Saccharomyces cerevisiae S288C: one gene and its partners. Changing the gene in region 1 together with any one later gene gives a genetic interaction. Each region holds a gene or a part of one and is shown in the gene's direction. Other genes may lie near its edges.

Region 1 (3,758 bases):
GAATGTCCTCTTCCATCGATATCAGTAAGATCAACTCTTGGAACAAAGAGTTTCAATCCGACTTAACCCATCAATTGGCAACCACTGTCCTTAAGAATTATAATGCCGATGATGCACTGTTGAACAAGACTAGACTGCAAAAGCAAGATAACAGGGTTTTCAACACTGTTGTCTCTACTGATTCCACTCCAGTCACCAACCAAAAAAGCTCTGGTAGATGTTGGTTGTTTGCCGCTACCAATCAACTGCGCTTGAATGTTCTTTCTGAATTGAACTTAAAAGAATTCGAACTGTCCCAAGCTTACTTGTTCTTTTACGATAAGTTGGAAAAGGCCAACTATTTCTTGGACCAAATCGTCTCCTCGGCTGATCAAGACATCGACTCACGTCTCGTGCAATACTTGTTAGCAGCTCCAACAGAAGACGGTGGCCAATACAGCATGTTTTTGAACCTAGTCAAGAAGTATGGCCTTATCCCCAAAGATTTATACGGGGATCTACCTTATTCTACTACTGCGTCCAGAAAATGGAATTCTCTGTTGACTACTAAACTGAGAGAATTTGCCGAGACTCTAAGAACAGCTTTGAAAGAGCGTTCTGCCGATGATTCCATAATTGTCACTCTGAGAGAGCAAATGCAAAGAGAAATCTTCAGGTTGATGTCGTTGTTCATGGACATACCTCCAGTGCAACCAAACGAGCAATTCACTTGGGAATACGTTGACAAAGACAAGAAAATCCACACTATCAAATCGACTCCGTTAGAATTTGCCTCCAAATACGCAAAATTGGACCCTTCCACGCCAGTCTCATTGATCAATGATCCAAGACACCCATATGGTAAATTAATTAAGATCGATCGTTTAGGAAACGTCCTTGGCGGAGATGCCGTGATTTACTTAAATGTTGACAATGAAACACTATCTAAATTGGTTGTTAAGAGATTACAAAATAACAAAGCTGTCTTTTTTGGATCTCACACTCCAAAGTTCATGGACAAGAAAACTGGTGTCATGGATATTGAATTGTGGAACTATCCTGCCATCGGCTATAATTTACCTCAGCAAAAGGCATCGCGTATTAGATACCATGAAAGTTTGATGACTCATGCTATGTTGATCACTGGCTGCCACGTCGATGAAACGTCTAAATTACCACTTCGCTACCGCGTTGAAAATTCCTGGGGTAAAGACTCCGGTAAAGACGGATTATACGTGATGACTCAAAAGTACTTCGAGGAGTACTGCTTTCAAATTGTGGTCGATATCAATGAATTGCCAAAAGAGCTGGCTTCAAAATTCACCTCAGGTAAGGAAGAGCCGATTGTCTTGCCCATCTGGGACCCAATGGGTGCTTTGGCCAAATAAATAGTTTCAGCAGCTCTGATGTAGATACACGTATCTCGACATGTTTTATTTTTACTATACATACATAAAAGAAATAAAAAATGATAACGTGTATATTATTATTCATATAATCAATGAGGGTCATTTTCTGAAACGCAAAAAACGGTAAATGGAAAAAAAATAAAGATAGAAAAAGAAAACAAACAAAGGAAAGGTTAGCATATTAAATAACTGAGCTGATACTTCAACAGCATCGCTGAAGAGAACAGTATTGAAACCGAAACATTTTCTAAAGGCAAACAAGGTACTCCATATTTGCTGGACGTGTTCTTTCTCTCGTTTCATATGCATAATTCTGTCATAAGCCTGTTCTTTTTCCTGGCTTAAACATCCCGTTTTGTAAAAGAGAAATCTATTCCACATATTTCATTCATTCGGCTACCATACTAAGGATAAACTAATCCCGTTGTTTTTTGGCCTCGTCACATAATTATAAACTACTAACCCATTATCAGATGAAAGTGAGGAAATATATTACTTTATGCTTTTGGTGGGCCTTTTCAACATCCGCTCTTGTATCATCACAACAAATTCCATTGAAGGACCATACGTCACGACAGTATTTTGCTGTAGAAAGCAATGAAACATTATCCCGCTTGGAGGAAATGCATCCAAATTGGAAATATGAACATGATGTTCGAGGGCTACCAAACCATTATGTTTTTTCAAAAGAGTTGCTAAAATTGGGCAAAAGATCATCATTAGAAGAGTTACAGGGGGATAACAACGACCACATATTATCTGTCCATGATTTATTCCCGCGTAACGACCTATTTAAGAGACTACCGGTGCCTGCTCCACCAATGGACTCAAGCTTGTTACCGGTAAAAGAAGCTGAGGATAAACTCAGCATAAATGATCCGCTTTTTGAGAGGCAGTGGCACTTGGTCAATCCAAGTTTTCCTGGCAGTGATATAAATGTTCTTGATCTGTGGTACAATAATATTACAGGCGCAGGGGTCGTGGCTGCCATTGTTGATGATGGCCTTGACTACGAAAATGAAGACTTGAAGGATAATTTTTGCGCTGAAGGTTCTTGGGATTTCAACGACAATACCAATTTACCTAAACCAAGATTATCTGATGACTACCATGGTACGAGATGTGCAGGTGAAATAGCTGCCAAAAAAGGTAACAATTTTTGCGGTGTCGGGGTAGGTTACAACGCTAAAATCTCAGGCATAAGAATCTTATCCGGTGATATCACTACGGAAGATGAAGCTGCGTCCTTGATTTATGGTCTAGACGTAAACGATATATATTCATGCTCATGGGGTCCCGCTGATGACGGAAGACATTTACAAGGCCCTAGTGACCTGGTGAAAAAGGCTTTAGTAAAAGGTGTTACTGAGGGAAGAGATTCCAAAGGAGCGATTTACGTTTTTGCCAGTGGAAATGGTGGAACTCGTGGTGATAATTGCAATTACGACGGCTATACTAATTCCATATATTCTATTACTATTGGGGCTATTGATCACAAAGATCTACATCCTCCTTATTCCGAAGGTTGTTCCGCCGTCATGGCAGTCACGTATTCTTCAGGTTCAGGCGAATATATTCATTCGAGTGATATCAACGGCAGATGCAGTAATAGCCACGGTGGAACGTCTGCGGCTGCTCCATTAGCTGCCGGTGTTTACACTTTGTTACTAGAAGCCAACCCAAACCTAACTTGGAGAGACGTACAGTATTTATCAATCTTGTCTGCGGTAGGGTTAGAAAAGAACGCTGACGGAGATTGGAGAGATAGCGCCATGGGGAAGAAATACTCTCATCGCTATGGCTTTGGTAAAATCGATGCCCATAAGTTAATTGAAATGTCCAAGACCTGGGAGAATGTTAACGCACAAACCTGGTTTTACCTGCCAACATTGTATGTTTCCCAGTCCACAAACTCCACGGAAGAGACATTAGAATCCGTCATAACCATATCAGAAAAAAGTCTTCAAGATGCTAACTTCAAGAGAATTGAGCACGTCACGGTAACTGTAGATATTGATACAGAAATTAGGGGAACTACGACTGTCGATTTAATATCACCAGCGGGGATAATTTCAAACCTTGGCGTTGTAAGACCAAGAGATGTTTCATCAGAGGGATTCAAAGACTGGACATTCATGTCTGTAGCACATTGGGGTGAGAACGGCGTAGGTGATTGGAAAATCAAGGTTAAGACAACAGAAAATGGACACAGGATTGACTTCCACAGTTGGAGGCTGAAGCTCTTTGGGGAATCCATTGATTCATCTAAAACAGAAACTTTCGTCTTTGGAAACGATAAAGAGGAGGTTGAACCAGCTGCTACAGAAAGTACCGTATCACAATATTCTGCCAGTTCAACTTCTATTTCCA
Region 2 (3,758 bases), on another chromosome or scaffold:
ACGGATATATAATATATCTCTAATAAGATTCACGAAATATTAATTGAAAAAAATATTATTAATATTAAACTATATATGCAATGACAGTGAAATCAGAGTTCATCTCTGAAATTTTTTATTCTATGAGCCATGGGGTTGCCAAAGATCAAGTGTCTGCTGTCGATAAGTTTCTTATCAAATGAGTCTTGTTCAGTATCTCTCTCTTGGAGCCCATTGTCCAAGTTAGATTGCCTGGCTTTACATTGTTGCGCTAACCAATTCAAAAACCCTTTGTTGATCGTGATGTCACTTTTGAAAATTTTCTTCAAGTTGTAAAGGGTGTCAAAAAACGTTCTTGTATGTAGTTCATCTATACTTTTGTTCTGGACCATCTCTTGGAACTCGTTTGCCCACTCTTGCAGATTTGACGACCAATTCTCAGCATTTCTTTTGAACAAAATTAGATTTGTATCGTCATTTTCGTACATGTCGGCCTTCAAAATTTTGCTGATCAACTCCAGGACTTTTATTTGTAACTGTTTGTCCTTGTTGTTTCTTTCATATACATTTTGTAAAACAACCGTAGAGTATATAGGAAGATCTTCGGATGTGACAGGTAATTCGTTTAAAATGGACAAGTATCTTTTTATTAGGATATTAGAGGATCTGTGGTTAGAATCATTCAAATTTGACAGAGCGGCCATGATTTTGCTTTTAAAATTTGGAAAACTTTCATTAATGAACTCGACTACAGGAGGATTGTTTCTCAAGCAGCTGGTAATGACTCTAGTACTGAGCTCTCTCAATGTTAACGGCAAATTTTCATTGAGACTAAGGTTGGCCAAGAGGGCGAATTCATGGGTAATAATTTTGTAGCCGTGCTTGTAATCATGCGCAAATTCCATTATTCTATCAAAACTATCCTCCAATCTGGCAATGTCCTGTGAAGATAAAGTCGGGTTAGAATCTATGATGTTTCTCATTTCTTTGAAATCACTGGAAAATTCATAGTCACCAGGCGATGCTTTCATGTCTTCTGAAGATACAATTAACTCATGGCTACCATTATCACCGACATTCTTCTCATCATTTAGTTTTGCCTCTTTTAAACCTGTGTCCATGTTTATTCTAATGTCCAAACCACCGGGGAGTTCTTGACCTGGCAGTATGGGCTGCCAATCGTGTCTTGGTTCAAATATCTTAGGATAGCAACGATTATCAACGCAGATCGAATTCCCTGAAATTTCAAGTTCTTTAAGATCTTCTGCAGATATGATTTCGCCTCCAGATGGCACTGAGTGTATGGATGAATGCAATATTGTACTCGCCACTAATTTCGAAGATAGGGCGCTCAAAATTATGGGAAGAATCCGGACCATTCTAAGTTTGCGTTCTTGGAAGTGATATTCAATATCGAGAACTTCCAGCGATGCGAAAACTAGTCTATTATAGTTGCTAATGTGTGCTCTATCATTTACGTGGCCTTTTCACATAGTCTGGTCTTTCTTAATTATCACAATTCCGTTACCCGAAATCTAATCTCGTGTTTAGCTTCGATCTGCGGACGTTACTTCTAACGTCCAGAACACTTCACCCGCTATTTACGTTTTGATCTAGTTGCGGCCTCCAAACCTGCAGATGAATCGTTCATTACATTCTTGCTGCCACTAGTTGGCCGCTGCGTATACAACAAGAAATATACTATGCATTTATGTAACGCGCTTTAGTCAGTAGCCTCAGTAATGCCTTTTCTAAGGTCAGTATGTCAATATCTCTCGGGTGAACCCCAACATTGTTGTTCTTTCTTCGTTGTTTCTCTCTCTTATCATCTTCTGTGTCTTTGCTTTCTTTTGTTCACAATTTCTCGAGAAAAAAAACTCCGCAGGAAATTTTTCACTTTTATTTTGCTTATACTATAAATAGGAAGGTCCCTGAACTGATTTGTTGACAGTGTTGCATTTCGTATATAAAAGTAAACAGTGGGCTGTAACAAACATATTATATATCACTCGCTACACACACAGCTCTAAATAGCTATGTTACTACGTTCTCTTACAAGTGCCTTCGTTTTAAGTGCTGGTTTGGCTCAGGCTGCTAGCAGCAGTAACAGTTCCACACCATCCATTGAAATTAAAGGCAATGCATTTTTTAATTCGGAATCAGGTGAAAGGTTTTATATCCGTGGTGTTGATTACCAGCCTGGTGGTTCTTCTAACTTGACTGATCCCTTAGCAGACGCATCTGTCTGTGACAGAGACGTCCCCGTTCTGAAAGATCTAGGGATAAATACTGTCAGAGTTTATACTGTGGATAACTCGCAAGATCATTCCCATTGTATGAAACTATTGCAGGAGAACGGTATATACTTGATCCTGGATGTCAATACCCCCACGAGTGCTATTTCTCGTTACGATCCAGCCTGCTCCTATAACGCTGACTACTTACAAAATGTCTTTGCCACCATTGATACCTTTGCTGATTACGACAATGTTCTAGGTTTTTTCGCTGGTAACGAGGTCATCAATAGTGTTAATACTACCAACACTGCTACTTATGTCAAGGCAGTGGTCAGGGACATGAAGAAATACATCAAGGCTAGAAAATACAGACAAATTCCGGTAGGTTACTCGGCTGCTGATATCGTCGCTAACAGACAATTGGCTGCTGAATACTTTAACTGTGGTGATGAAGCTGACGCTAGAATCGACATGTTTGGTGTTAATGACTATTCTTGGTGTGGTGAATCTTCATTTGTGGTATCGGGTTATTCCACCAAGATGAAGCTATATCAAGATTACTCCGTTCCTGTCTTCTTAAGTGAATTTGGTTGTAACCAAGTCAAGAGCTCTCGTCCATTCACAGAAATTGAAGCTATCTATTCCACTCAAATGTCTTCTGTATTCTCCGGTGGGCTAGTCTACGAATATTCCAATGAAACTAACAATTACGGGCTCGTTCAAATTGATGGTGACAAGGTCACTAAATTGACAGATTTTGAAAACTTGAAAAATGAATACAGCAAAGTATCCAACCCAGAAGGCAATGGTGGTTACAGTACTTCCAACAACTATTCTACATGTCCTGATTATGAAAAGGGTGTCTGGGAAGCTAATAACACTTTGCCTGCTATGCCAAGTGCTGCTTCTGCTTACTTCACATCTGGAGCAGGTTCTCCTATGGGAACCGGAATCGCCACCCAACAAAGTTGTGATGCTAAGGACGATGACGACGAAGAAGACGACGACACCTCCTCTTCATCCTCTTCTTCCTCTTCATCTTCATCTTCCGCTTCTTCATCTTCTGAATCATCATCCTCGACTTCAAAGGCATCTTCCTCCTCCCCTTCTGCTAGCGAAACGAGCTTGCTAAAATCTGCCGCATCTGCTACTTCGTCCAGCCAATCGTCCTCGAAATCAAAGGGTGCTGCCGGAATTATTGAGATTCCTTTGATATTCCGTGCTTTGGCAGAACTTTATAACTTGGTTTTATGAGTTTTCACCCCCGTTCTTTACCACATTGTTTCTAATTATTCCGTTAGCGCCGCTTACTTTTAATGTTCTTAAGATAAAAAAACATCATTAATATTATTATTAAAAAATTCATATATATACCTATATCTATATGCACTATTTATGCTTCCACTTTTCTTTTCTTTCTAAATACATCATTCCAAGACGTTTTTGTCCATCTTATGTAATGCATCCTTGATGCTTTGCAATTCTACTTTCTGTCCACGAACGTGCAATCCAGATGCAATGTTCTCTAACGCTGATGAGATC
Region 3 (3,758 bases), on another chromosome or scaffold:
CATCACTCGGACTTCTCCTATAAGTAGATTTATTACGTTTTGATTCCTGTTGTTCTTCATACATAGAATGTATGTCTGAAAACAGATCAGCAACTGTCATATGTATATATCGATGACGTGCGTAGCGTAAAAATTTGTATTCGCCAGATAGACCTCTCATAATGAATTGGCATGCTACCTTGTTATTGATAGGAATGCCATTGTTTTTTAGTCTGTCAAGAATGTTTGTGACTTCTGCTTCAAATGCATCTGCAGGTGTACTTCCATTATAATGCAAATTTGCTAGGGTCGTAATGTCATTTACCTCTTGAGTATCAGACTGCATTTTGTTAATGCTTTTGGAAAGAATTTTCATGATATCTGTATAATCAACAGATAAGATGTCTTTAACCCAGGTGGGTAAGAATTGAGATAGAGCAAATAGTTGAAAGGTGTGACATAAGAAGGTGAGTTCGTCATCAGTCATCTGACGTACGGCTTTTCTTGTTGCTGTCGGAATAATATCACCGAGATTCGAATTTTGTAAAAATTTGATGTATATTTTAACCCAATTTAGAAAGTCATTAGGTGAGGTTAAGATTGGCGGTGGTCTGACATGTTGATTAGTGGATGTCATATTAGACTTTGCTGAGGATGAATCAGGAAATGAATTACCTGACTCAGGTGACGGGGTGTTCAAATGTGTTCCAACATATTGTGGATATTGTGTAAACTGTGATTGTGCTCCAGGTGGAGCGTACATAGGTGACATTTGATAAGGTGGATACGGCATCAAAGATGGGTGCCCGTATACTGGCCAACCAGAAATATTGGCTTGTTGGGGAGTCATCATTCGCTGCTGTGGGTACGGCCCATTTTGTGGCAATGGTACTTGAGCAGCTTGAGGAGAGGCATGATGATGGTTCTCTGGAACAGCAGCTGAGGGAGGTGTTGTTGGCTGTTGAGAATTAGCCTGAGTGAAAACCTTCTCACATTCTTCTGTTTTGGAAGCTGAAATGTCTAACGGATCTTGAGTTGTTTGGACTTCTTTAGAAGTAACCGAAGCACAGGCGCTACCATGAGAAATGGGTGAATGTTGAGATAATTGTTGGGATTCCATTGTTGATAAAGGCTATAATATTAGGTATACAGAATATACTAGAAGTTCTCCTCGAGGGTCAGGAATCCCCATAATGGAATCTATATTTCTATATACCAATATTACGATTATTCCTCATTCTGTTTTATATGTTTCATTATCCTATTACATTATCAATCCTTGCACTTCAGCTTCCTCTAACTTCGATGACAGCTTCTCATAACTTATGTCATCATCTTAACACCGTATATGATAATATATTGATAATATAACTATTAGTTGATAGACGATAGTGGATTTTTATTCCAACACTATGTGTGTATTGTGTGTGCGTGTAATATAATCATTTCTAGTCATCTCTAGTCAAAGTAACTTATAAAAGCCTAAAAAAGGAGGATTTAACATGAATTGTCGGTCCTATAGTGTAGTGGTTATCACTTTCGGTTTTGATCCGGACAACCCCGGTTCGAATCCGGGTAGGACCTCTTTTTATTTTTACTCTAACAAATCAACATTGATATTTTTTGTTGATGTGTTAGAGTGGAGCCAACGATGCTCTTAAGATATACACTTTAGTACTTTTGAAGCTCTTACAGTTTTTTGATGTCGGAGAAGGCTTATACATATTGTTATTTTCCCTCTACAGGAAAGAAGGTGAACGTTTAGTTTTTATCAAGGCGCCGAGTAAATTTTATAATATCGAGGCGAGGGAAAAACAAAGCAACGAGAAAGGAAGCTCAAAGTTGGGATTTACATCATTTCTTTAAAAAGCATCATTGGCTTCTCTCCAATTGTTCAATAAACGCAGACTAATAGAAATTGAAGTCATTTTCCGGAGAAATATAAAATATTTTCTGCAACTAAGCTATACTCGATTTCTTTTAAGTTTCTCCAGAACCAATAAAAAGTAATATCTTAAACTGTTTCTTTCTCATTTTTTCCCCGAATTCCATTAAAGAAGATAAGAAACAAGTCTAAGTGCTACTATATCTGATGTCTGAACAGAATTCAGTAGTAAATGCTGAAAAAGGGGATGGCGAAATATCTTCAAATGTAGAGACTGCTTCTTCAGTCAATCCGTCTGTGAAACCACAGAATGCTATTAAAGAAGAAGCTAAAGAGACAAATGGTGAAGATCAAAAATGCAAAGGGCCAGAAAACGCTGGCAGTACGGCAGAAACAAAAGAAACAAGTAACGACGCTACCAACGGAATGAAAACGCCCGAAGAAACGGAAGATACAAATGACAAACGCCATGACGATGAAGGTGAAGATGGAGATGAAGATGAAGATGAAGATGAAGATGAAGATGAAGACAATGGGGACGAGGATGATGAGGACGTGGATAGCAGTAGTTCCGAAACCAGTTCCGAAGACGGGGAAGATTCTGAATCAGTCTCAGGGGAAAGTACTGAGAGTAGCTCTGGAGAAGATGAAGAATCTGATGAAAGCGATGGAAATACATCAAACAGCTCCTCTGGTGATGAAAGCGGGTCAGAAGAAGAAGAAGAAGAAGAAGAAGAAGAAGAAGAAGAGGAAAATGCTGGCGAACCAGCTATCGCTCATCAAGATAGTGTTCCCACCAACGATTCTACTGCCCCAAGGTCTACCCATACGAGGAACATATCACTATCTTCAAATGGTTCGAACACAAACTCAACCATAATTTTAGTGAAAACTACGTTGGAGACAATTTTAAATGATAAGGACATTAAAAAGAATTCGAATGCTCAGAAGGCTATCGAAAGGACATTACAAAAATTTAAGGAATTTGATCCGCAAACCACGAATAACCCACATTACGTGGATTCAATACTAGTATTCGAAGCACTAAGGGCAAGCTGTCGTACCAAATCCTCCAAAGTTCAAAGTTTGGCTTTAGATTGCCTGTCAAAATTGTTTTCTTTTAGATCGCTAGACGAGACCCTGTTAGTGAATCCACCCGATTCTTTAGCCTCTAATGATCAACGACAAGATGCTGCCGATGGAATAACGCCGCCTCCAAAACAAAAAATTATAGACGCTGCAATTGATACTATTTCAGACTGTTTTCAAGGTGAAGGCACTGATGACCGTGTGGAACTACAAATCGTTAGAGCTTTATCTAGTTGCATTTTAGAAGAGGATTCAAGTTCTTTATGCCACGGTGCTTCCTTGCTAAAGGCTATCAGAACAATCTACAACGTTTTCGTCTTTTCGTTGAACCCATCCAATCAAGGTATTGCACAGGCGACCTTGACACAAATTATTAGTTCGGTGTATGATAAAATCGATCTCAAACAAAGTACCTCTTCAGCAGTATCCTTATCGACAAAAAATCATCAACAACAATCCGCCATAGAACTTTCCGAGGCTTCTGAAAATGCAGAAACGCCGGCTCCTTTAACTCTGGAAAATATGGATAAGTTGAATGACGATGAGGAAAGACTAATGGACGCTCAACAGCCTGATTCTATCGCCATAACTAACCAAGATCTAGCTGTTAAAGATGCGTTCTTAGTGTTTAGAGTCATGGCGAAAATATGTGCTAAACCTTTGGAAACAGAACTCGACATGAGGTCACATGCCGTCAGGTCAAAGCTTTTATCTCTTCACATCATTTACTCTATTATCAAAGATCATATTGACGTATTCCTTTCCCACAACATTTTTCTACCAGGAAAGGAGCGTGTGTGCTTTA

What was found.
Region 2: of KEX2 (region 1) and GAS5, extra expression of one rescues a mutant of the other (dosage rescue), as found in Saccharomyces cerevisiae (one study listed by BioGRID).
Region 3: of KEX2 (region 1) and SEC7, changing one enhances a phenotype caused by changing the other (phenotypic enhancement), as found in Saccharomyces cerevisiae (one study listed by BioGRID).

What each region holds. Positions count from the first base shown.
Region 1 is NC_001146.8:200,567-204,324, forward strand, and holds the start of KEX2 (kexin KEX2), read left to right. Parts: upstream 1-1,861; coding exon 1,862-3,758. Other genes in the region: LAP3 (bleomycin hydrolase), read left to right, coding at 3-1,367.
Region 2 is NC_001147.6:266,172-269,929, forward strand, and holds GAS5 (1,3-beta-glucanosyltransferase), read left to right. Parts: upstream 1-2,015; coding exon 2,016-3,470; downstream 3,471-3,758. Other genes in the region: SIL1 (Sil1p), read right to left, coding at 93-1,358; YOL029C (uncharacterized protein), read right to left, coding at 3,644-3,758. UniProt on the Saccharomyces cerevisiae protein: Splits internally a 1,3-beta-glucan molecule and transfers the newly generated reducing end (the donor) to the non-reducing end of another 1,3-beta-glucan molecule (the acceptor) forming a 1,3-beta linkage, resulting in the elongation of 1,3-beta-glucan chains in the cell wall.
Region 3 is NC_001136.10:800,536-804,293, reverse strand, and holds the start of SEC7 (Arf family guanine nucleotide exchange factor SEC7), read left to right. Parts: upstream 1-2,071; coding exon 2,072-3,758. Other genes in the region: YDR170W-A (gag protein), read right to left, coding at 1-1,099. UniProt on the Saccharomyces cerevisiae protein: Guanine exchange factor that acts as an activator of ARF1 at the trans-Golgi network and is thus involved in vesicular budding and traffic between compartments of the Golgi apparatus.